2 linked regions of the Drosophila melanogaster genome follow. The protein of the gene in region 1 purifies or fractionates together with the protein of each later gene. This does not show direct contact. Each region holds a gene or a part of one and is shown in the gene's direction. Other genes may lie near its edges. The genes, in order: pck and wrm1.

Evidence for each region.
Region 2: the proteins of pck (region 1) and wrm1 purify together in Drosophila melanogaster (affinity purification with western blotting; one study listed by BioGRID). This does not show direct contact.

What each region holds. Positions count from the first base shown.
Region 1 is NC_004354.4:1,468,854-1,473,038, forward strand, and holds pck (pickel), read left to right. Parts: upstream 1-1,812; 5' UTR 1,813-1,942; intron 1,943-1,994; exon of another isoform or gene 1,995-2,014; 5' UTR 2,015-2,131; coding exon 2,132-2,210; intron 2,211-2,286; coding exon 2,287-2,495; coding exon of another isoform or gene 2,496-2,554; coding exon 2,555-2,750; intron 2,751-2,804; coding exon 2,805-3,091; 3' UTR 3,092-3,472; downstream 3,473-4,185. Other genes in the region: CG32808 (uncharacterized protein), read right to left, coding at 1-245, 308-793; CG14778 (uncharacterized protein), read left to right, coding at 965-1,100, 1,162-1,244, 1,304-1,486, 1,549-1,707; CG14780 (uncharacterized protein), read left to right, coding at 3,713-3,963, 4,023-4,185.
Region 2 is NT_037436.4:7,332,898-7,336,928, reverse strand, and holds wrm1 (wurmchen 1), read left to right. Parts: upstream 1-1,702; 5' UTR 1,703-1,849; intron 1,850-2,030; 5' UTR 2,031-2,093; coding exon 2,094-2,387; intron 2,388-2,459; coding exon 2,460-2,654; 3' UTR 2,655-2,660; coding exon of another isoform or gene 2,661-2,834; 3' UTR 2,835-3,385; downstream 3,386-4,031. Other genes in the region: eco (establishment of cohesion), read left to right, coding at 1-991, 1,054-1,258; wrm2 (wurmchen 2), read left to right, coding at 2,661-2,834; mus312 (mutagen-sensitive 312), read right to left, coding at 3,636-4,031.

The sequences.
Region 1 (4,185 bases):
ACGCCCGGAAACGGTGGCCGTGCACAGGGCTTTATGCTCCAAGAAACAATGCCCACCTGGGTGTCGGAGCCAATAAGAAGCAGCGGGCCTCCGGAGTCGCCGCTGCACTGGCCTTTTCCACCTTCGGGCAATCCCGCACAGATCTGGCTGTCGTGCAGATAGGTCTGATGGCGCTCGCTGCACTCGGTATCGCTGAACACTTGCAGTTTGACCTTCTGCAGATGCTGCTGGACCACGCCGCCCGTCTACAATTGAAAGGTTCAGTCGATAGTCAAGGAGTCTGAAGGAGGAATGGCTTCTCTCTTACCGCATTTAATCCCCAGCCCGCGAGGACAGCACTGGCGTTTCCGGGCGTGACTTGTCGAGGCTCCGGCAGACGCACCGGCTGGACAAACTTGCTCAAAGCGACGGACTGCGCTAACTGCAACAATGCGATGTCGTTGACGTACTTGTCCTCCGGCTCGTACCCTGGATGGACGAAGATGGCGGCCACGCGGGCCACCTGGCTGGAGTTTCGCGCCAGCATCTGGCTGCCGTACTGCAGGTCGAGCTGCTCTGGCGAGGAGCCTCGCACGCAGTGGGCGGCTGTCAGGACCCAGTACGGGTTGAGCAGCGTAGCGCCGCAGGAGTGACGTCCGCTCTTCGCGCGTCGCAGCGAGACCACAAAGGGAAACTCCCCCGGGCCAGCTGTAGTGCCGTTGACGATTTTTCCATCCTCGCCAGAGGCTCCTGCCAGAAGGAAGGTTGCCGTGTAGAAAAGTGCGAGCCTTGCTAGCCAAGCCATGACGGCCATCTATGTGCACGGTTCACAGGTAGAGCAGGGCAATTTATGGAATATTGGGGCCCGCATTCGCTTGTGGGTTTTATGTGGGTAGAGCTGGCCATGCAGTTGTGGGCCTGAAGTATTAGCCATGCTAATGAGATGCCAACCGCGCGATTGTGACTCCGCAGGGCCGAGATTGCGATGGCGGGCCCACTTTTGTGGCAAAACTTCAAGGTGTTCGTCACCCGCTACCCGATTATGCGCGGCATGATATCGTACAGCCTGATCTGGCCCACGGGCAGCCTCATCCAGCAAACGGTTGAGGGCAGGCGCTGGGGTGAGTCGGCATTCTTTCGAGCAGCTCTCAGCTCCTTATCCTTCTCGTCTTCATCTTACAGGCACCTACGACTGGTGGCGCGTGCTCCGGTTCAGCATGTACGGTGGTCTGTTTGTTGCTCCTACCCTCTACGGATGGGTCAAGGTTAGTGACCGTTTACATGGCTGCTGTTTAGGTCTACTCCTATTCCGATTGCTCCTCAGATTTCCAGCGCCATGTGGCCGCAGACATCGTTGAGGACGGGCGTCATTAAGGCGGCGGTGGAGACGATCTCGTACACCCCCGGCGCGATGACCTGCTTCTACTTTATCATGAGCCTCCTGGAGTCCAAGACGGTGGAGCAGGCGGTAGCCGAGGTCGGCAAGAAATTCCTGCCCACGTACAAGGTACTCTTTTGGGATTCGAGGGAGAACTGCCGCCTAACCCACCAATTCCATCGCTCTTGCAGGTGGCTCTGTCCGTATGGCCACTGGTGGCCACCATCAACTTCACCCTGATCCCCGAGCGCAACCGGGTGCCATTCATCAGCGCGTGCAGCCTGTGCTGGACCTGCTTCTTGGCCTACATGAAGCACCTGGAGCACCACGAGGTGGACGGGGCCATTTGATGGACATGATCGTATTTCTCAAACAGCATTAAATAAAATAGTAATTATTGAACGAAATGAATGGAATTAAAAACCAAGAACGGTATTCTGCACTAAGTACTGGTCACACTGGGCTCACCTAGGGGTGAAAAAATATCGATTGTGCATGGGTTTGTTTTATATTTAAACAGCATTTTGCAAAATAGCCCCTCTTTCCGAAGATCAACAAGCCTAAAGTAATAAATTTAATAAAAAGGTATTTTGAAATAATTCGCGGTATATCGACCGAGCCCCACCACATTTCTTATCGACACTGTCCCATCGCTAGCCCCACCTAGTTGTTGCTGCATTTTTTGGGTGTGTGCGTTGTATTTGTTTACTGACAATCCCCAGAAAAGAAACTCCTCTGCTCCAACTGCGATCCCTCGAGACCCAGGACAGCAGCATGCGCGAACTTAACAAGCAGCAGTCGCAGGACACCACGGACTCGGGCGTCGAAAAGGGCGACTATCCGCGGGCCACCAGTAAGTGACGCACTCAAGCATGCGGGCCGATCTGCATTTGCATCCAAATACTTTCAATGCCCAATTCCCTTTCCAGATGGCGTGGTCTTCGGCGCCATAGTTACATTCGCCAGCTTTTTCGTGCTGATGATGTCCTTTTGCTCGCCGTACTGGATCGAGTCCTACGAGGAGACGCGGGCCAGCTTCAAGAACATGGGCCTGTGGCAGTACTGCTTTAAGGACTTCGTGTACCCCAAGTACGCGTTCTTGAAGCAGTTCACCGGTTGCCACAACATCTTCTCGCACGTGAGTACAGCAAACTGGCCGGTTCTTATCCTTGTCCTGATCTTCTCCCACTCGTACAGGAGTATTACGTTATCCGTGAGTATCTGCTGCCCGGCTGGCTCATGGCGGTGCAGGGCTTCGTGACCATGTCCTTCATCATCGTGTTCCTTGTGCTGGCCCTGCTCTCGCTTACCATCATCCGACTGCCTCTTAAGGCCGTTCTGCAGTACGAGTGGCTGCTCGTCCGCCTCTCCTACATGGGCACCGCCATCTCGTGTATGTATCTGCCTCCCGCCCAATAAGTACTAGCTAAACAGCGGTCTCCCACAGCTCTGTTCATGTTTTTGGCCGTATGCATCTTCGGGGGCTGCGCCTACCGCCGCGACTGGATGATGTACCCCAAGTTCAACGTGCTGGGCTGGTCCTACGCCCTGGCCGTTGTCACCTTCATGCTCCTTGGTCTAGCCGCTCTGATCCTGCAGCGCGAGGCCCGGCAAGCCTACGACGCCCGCGGCGAGCAGAAGAACCTGGTAATGCAAATGGAGATGCAGGAGCCGGGTTACCAGCCGCCGCGCCACCACCACAGCCAGTCGCGGAGCCTGCAGGGCTACATATAACAGCTGTCCGCCCGACTTCCATACATTCCGTTCCGATTGGATCTTAGCTTAAGTTTTCAGACGCAATCTCGTGCCTCGAATCTGCGCAATCGACGCCGTCCATAGTGCCTTTAACAATCGACCATATGTATCTATATACACGCCGACTCAGCCGAGATCAGCTCGTATCCGTTTGTAATTGTATTAAATAGCACGTACAGCTAAACGTAAGATCAGTGCGACCAAAAAGATCCACTAACTTTTTACACATCTACCATTATACTTTTTATATAGGCTCAAAAATGTTTACAGCTTAAATTTTTAGACCATATTCCACCTTTTATAAGCAAACTGGTGTAGAGACATATCAACATTGAATTAAATGTATTATTTGAACTTGCGAAGCTAAACGTACTGATCAGATTGATCATCTCCGCCCTGGTTTCCCCATCATGACCCCCAGCTACATGTTCCTGGTGATGAGGTGCGGATGTGATCTACACCTAATATGTTTATGTTTGCCTTATCGAACTGATAGCGCCTCCGCTGATTGCCAATTGTTAGTTTGGGCTGCTGGCTCCCAGACTCGACCCCTCGATTCAGTGAGTTTCGTGCGCTCTGTTTCTTCTCATCTGATCTGCGATGACTCAGTTTGGCCTGCACGGCTGCAGCTACATTCTGTTCTGGTTCCTTCTCGCCTGCGCGGCGGCGGACCTTCAGGAGAATCAGCAGTCGCGCATCATCAATGGAAGCGTGGCCAAGGCGGACGAGACGCGCCACCTGGTCTCCATCCGCCTTCTCCGCCACGACAACAACTTTGGAAGCGGCCACATCTGCGGCGGGGCGCTAATCGCGCCCAGAAAGGTTCTGACCGCAGCGCACTGCCTGTACAAGTAAGTAGTGATCCCACCATGGGGTGCCCGCTCCCTTTTGATCGAACTCATGCCAGCAGCAATCAGAGAAAGCGCTTTCGGCGGGCCAGCGAATTCGTAGTGGTTCTGGGCACGCTGAACCGCTTCGAGCACCGCAATGGCACCATCGTGTCCCAGGTGAGTTCCATGGCCTACATGCACACCTTCAGCCCGGACAGCATGCGCGACGACGTGGGCATCCTT
Region 2 (4,031 bases), on another chromosome or scaffold:
ACGATACGGTGGTTGATGAGATTGTAGAAGCGAATCCGGTGGTACAGGCAACGCCCATTGATGCGGAGGAGACGACCATGGAAACGGAGTCGCTACCGGATATAATTGAGTATGCCCCAGAGGCGAACGATGTGGAAATTGATCCCTTTGCTGAGTTCCGTCAACGTTTGCCATACCAAACCGATGATCCCAATGTCGTGGAGCAACAGCAAATTTTACTAGAGTTTCTCATTAGCAACAATATTTGCACCGAAAAGAACTTTGAGATATTTATTGCAAATCCGGATGACTACAAGGACGAGGCCAATCAAATTGTGGACAATTTATACATGGTGGTGAACAGCGAGGAGGCTGCGCAGCTTGCTCAGATGGAAACAGTGGAAAATACAGCGGTGGCCATTGCACCAAAACAGGATGCGCCAGCAGTAGAGGAAGTTCAGCCAAAGCTTTTCCCCATATTCACTCAACGCTTACAGCCCGTTGTCCAGAAATCGTTGCGGCGTCGGCCGGATACATCGATGAGATTGCTAACGGCGGCGGGTGGATCGAATCAGTACCAGATCGATGCTGGTCAAAAGGCCTTCGGAGCACGGCAGTGCCAGCAGTGCGGATTGGTGTACACCGTGCACGAGCCGGAGGAGGAGCTGCTTCATCGCGAGTACCACAATTCCATCCATGTGCTGCGCTTCAAGGGCTGGATCGACGAGGACATTGTGTCCGTTTATCCAGAATGGGCCAGCGACGGGCGCATCATACGGATCAACGAACGCGCTCCGACAGCTCGGCTCGACAGACTGCGGGATCTCATTGGTGTGGTGGACAAAGAGCTGGGCTATTCCTCGTACATTGTGCCAAAGATCTTTGTAGCCTTCATAGCAGTGCGCAAGCAGCAGATCGTAGGCTTCTGCCTGGTGCAGCCCCTCTCGCAGGCCCATCGTTTCATCCAGGTCGATGGCACGGACTACTTCAGCGAGGAAAGCTACCCGGCCAGGTAAGACATCCCCTACTGCATGCCCCTTCCCTTGTCAACGGCTAAAATGTGCCTTCTTTCAGCTGCGGCGTCTCACGCATCTGGGTTTCTCCGCTGCAGCGACGCAGCGGGATCGCCAGCAAGCTGCTGCGAGTCGTCCAGTGCCACACGGTGCTCGGTCAAGAGATCGCTAGGGAGTGCATTGCCTTCAGTACGCCCACCGACGATGGTCGGGCTCTGGCACGCCAGTTCACCGGGTTGGATAACTTCCTCACCTACGACCAGTGATCGGGGAAATCTATTGAAGCTATTGAATAGCTGGATTGTTTTTGAGTTAGGATTGCTTCGAAACCTGTAATAGTTGATAAGCAAGTGCGATTATGTTACTAGCGGCACGAAGACGCGCAATTTAACATGTTTACAATGGTGGTTTAATATGCCTGTTTTTACGCAATGAACACGATATTTTCTTCGAGTCGCATTAATTTTGAAAATATAGATTAATATTGTTTATCTTACGTGTCGGGTTTTAAAACATGTAAATTTGGTGTTACAAAAATAGCACATACGTTAATTTTTAAATTGTATGTTTATAAACATTGTTTAATATATTTAAATTCTAACAAATAACTTAATGTCTAAATGTATGCAGTAAAAAATTTACACAACCTGCACTTGCGATCGATGAATGGTTATCGATCGCTTGCAACCATGCGGCGAGTCCACAAAGTGCCATCACTAGCACACTGAGCCTGGCTTTTGGGCGTTGTTTTCGTAGCAGCAAAGTGGCTGAAATTAATAACATTTAAGAGCAGAAGTGTGTAACACACCTGAATGGGACTTGTGCCAATCTCAGTGACCACCAATCGCGCGCAAATGGTAAGTGCAATCCGCATATAAGCTGCTAAGTGGGGAGCTGCTGGTGCTGCTAGTTAGTTTACTTTGGTGACGCCACGCCCAATGTGACAAATTGGAATCGGTGGCAATTGGTTTCGGGGTGCAAGTGGCATGCAGCGTGGTGGTTGAACCGCTTTCTCACTCTTCTTCCCCTGCCCTCCAGACCATTGAGCATTGTGCAGCAGGCTATTGAGGCTCTTGCAAGTGACCACACCCCTATAAGACTATGTCCACAATCGAAGAGGAACGCAAGGCGTACGAAAAGAATCCCTACTTCACCGGCCACATCTACGGCAACTTCTCGCCGTTTTATGTGACCATTGCCATCTGCACGGTTGTCCTGGGCACGATCATAATACTGAACATTATCTTGGGCTGCTGCTCCAAGCATCGCAAGTACTGGCAGGACAGGCACACGGGCAATCGCTGGTTGGTTTCCATTTGGTCTGCCACGCCCCACAATCAGCCGCCATTGGATTTCACTGAGCTGAAGGACGCCTCATACTTTCAGCGCTTCCATGTGAGTATTCGGTTTTTTGGCCAGAGCCCGAAAAATCGTGGCTTATTGTTTGGAAACTATTACTTTTTCTAGCCCACAACCCATCAGCAAGTGTTCCCCGACGACGTTGTCATCGGCGTTGACGACTTGGAGCCCGTGCACTCGGCGCACCATCATCATCACCAGCAGCAGCACCAGCGTCCACCACGTCCAGAGGGTCGCACTTTGCACCAGCAGCGCCAGCGCGAGGAATACGTGGAGTTGCAGAAGCGCGAGAGCGACATCTAAGTAGCAATGGCTCTTTACTTCCTTTATCCCGCCGTGGCCGCCGTCGCCCTGTTCATCGTGGGCGTTATCATTGTCATGCTGCGCTACGGACCGCGTTTGTGCGGTTTGCGCCACCATGCGCTTCCCGATGACGAGGATCTGCGGGGAAAGACGTATGAGCATGAGATTAGCTATGCCTAATATTGGGGTGTTCAGGGGTGTCCCATTAATCCCATTCAACCAATGGGTATTGTTGGTGATTTCTTGGACAGCCCTGCCTTTAATTTACATACTTATACATGCCGGCAATGCTACGAATTGCTTCTTATATATCTCTCTCCCCCCAAAACTAATCCTAGCTACTGTAAGAGCCCACTAACCCGTCTGCACCCACCAACCATATCAGTTTTGCATGCAGTACAAATAGTTTCATTAGCAACCAGTTTTGTTCGAGCCGATTCCATTCCATTAATCGCAATCTGACAATGTGCCTTTCACGTAGAGACTCGTAAGAAATTTATACCGTCCAAGTGTCTTTTCTAGCGCCGTAAGATCGAATTGTATTTTTACATTTAATACCCATTTAGGGTAGTCTGTCTACAGATGCTGCATTTAATGTTGTCCAATATTCTACTCGTATGAAAATATCAGTGTCTTGTATCTACTACAAACTCTATACATTTGTATTCGTCCATTAGTTTTGTAATATTGTATTTTGAAGTTGCATCAAATAAATCTACGGCCCCCAAAATAATATTGTGTTTTTTAATCGTAGATGCTAGTGGGTAGCTTGAAATGGCAAATAGGAATGGTTAACAATGCTTCAAACAAAAGTGTTGAATGTATTTGAGTTTTATCAATTTTACATACAATAAATTTAGATCGCAAAATACCAAGTAACAATATCTTATTCAATAATACAATATAAGGTAAATACTAGAAAATAATTCAATGCATTCAAAGTTAGGTATAAGTACAATGAAATTCCATAACTTGTAGAATCTACTTCCTTTTAGAAGGCTTTTTTGTGTGCCTTCGCACATGACGCTCTGCTTGCTTGCCGGGAGCACCCAGTTCATAGCGAAAGATAATGCAACGCCGGTCGAAGAAGGTCTTCAGGTCCTTTGGATCGTATCGATGCCCCATGTGCTTCAGGTGCAAGTAAACTGCCTGCAAATCAATGGGTTCGTACGTGAGTACACTTTCGTGCAGTTGGGGATTGGCGCAGATGAGATTGTGCCAGGCGATGTGCAGTGGCACCAGCGGCTGTGGTGTCTTCTTGGTAACGTTCGTTTGCATGACAAAGGTCTCGAAGTCATCGCAAAGACTCGGGGCAAGGGATTGGGAAAAGCGCAGCAATTCCTCGCCCGTGGCATCGTTAAATGTTAAATCCTTTTT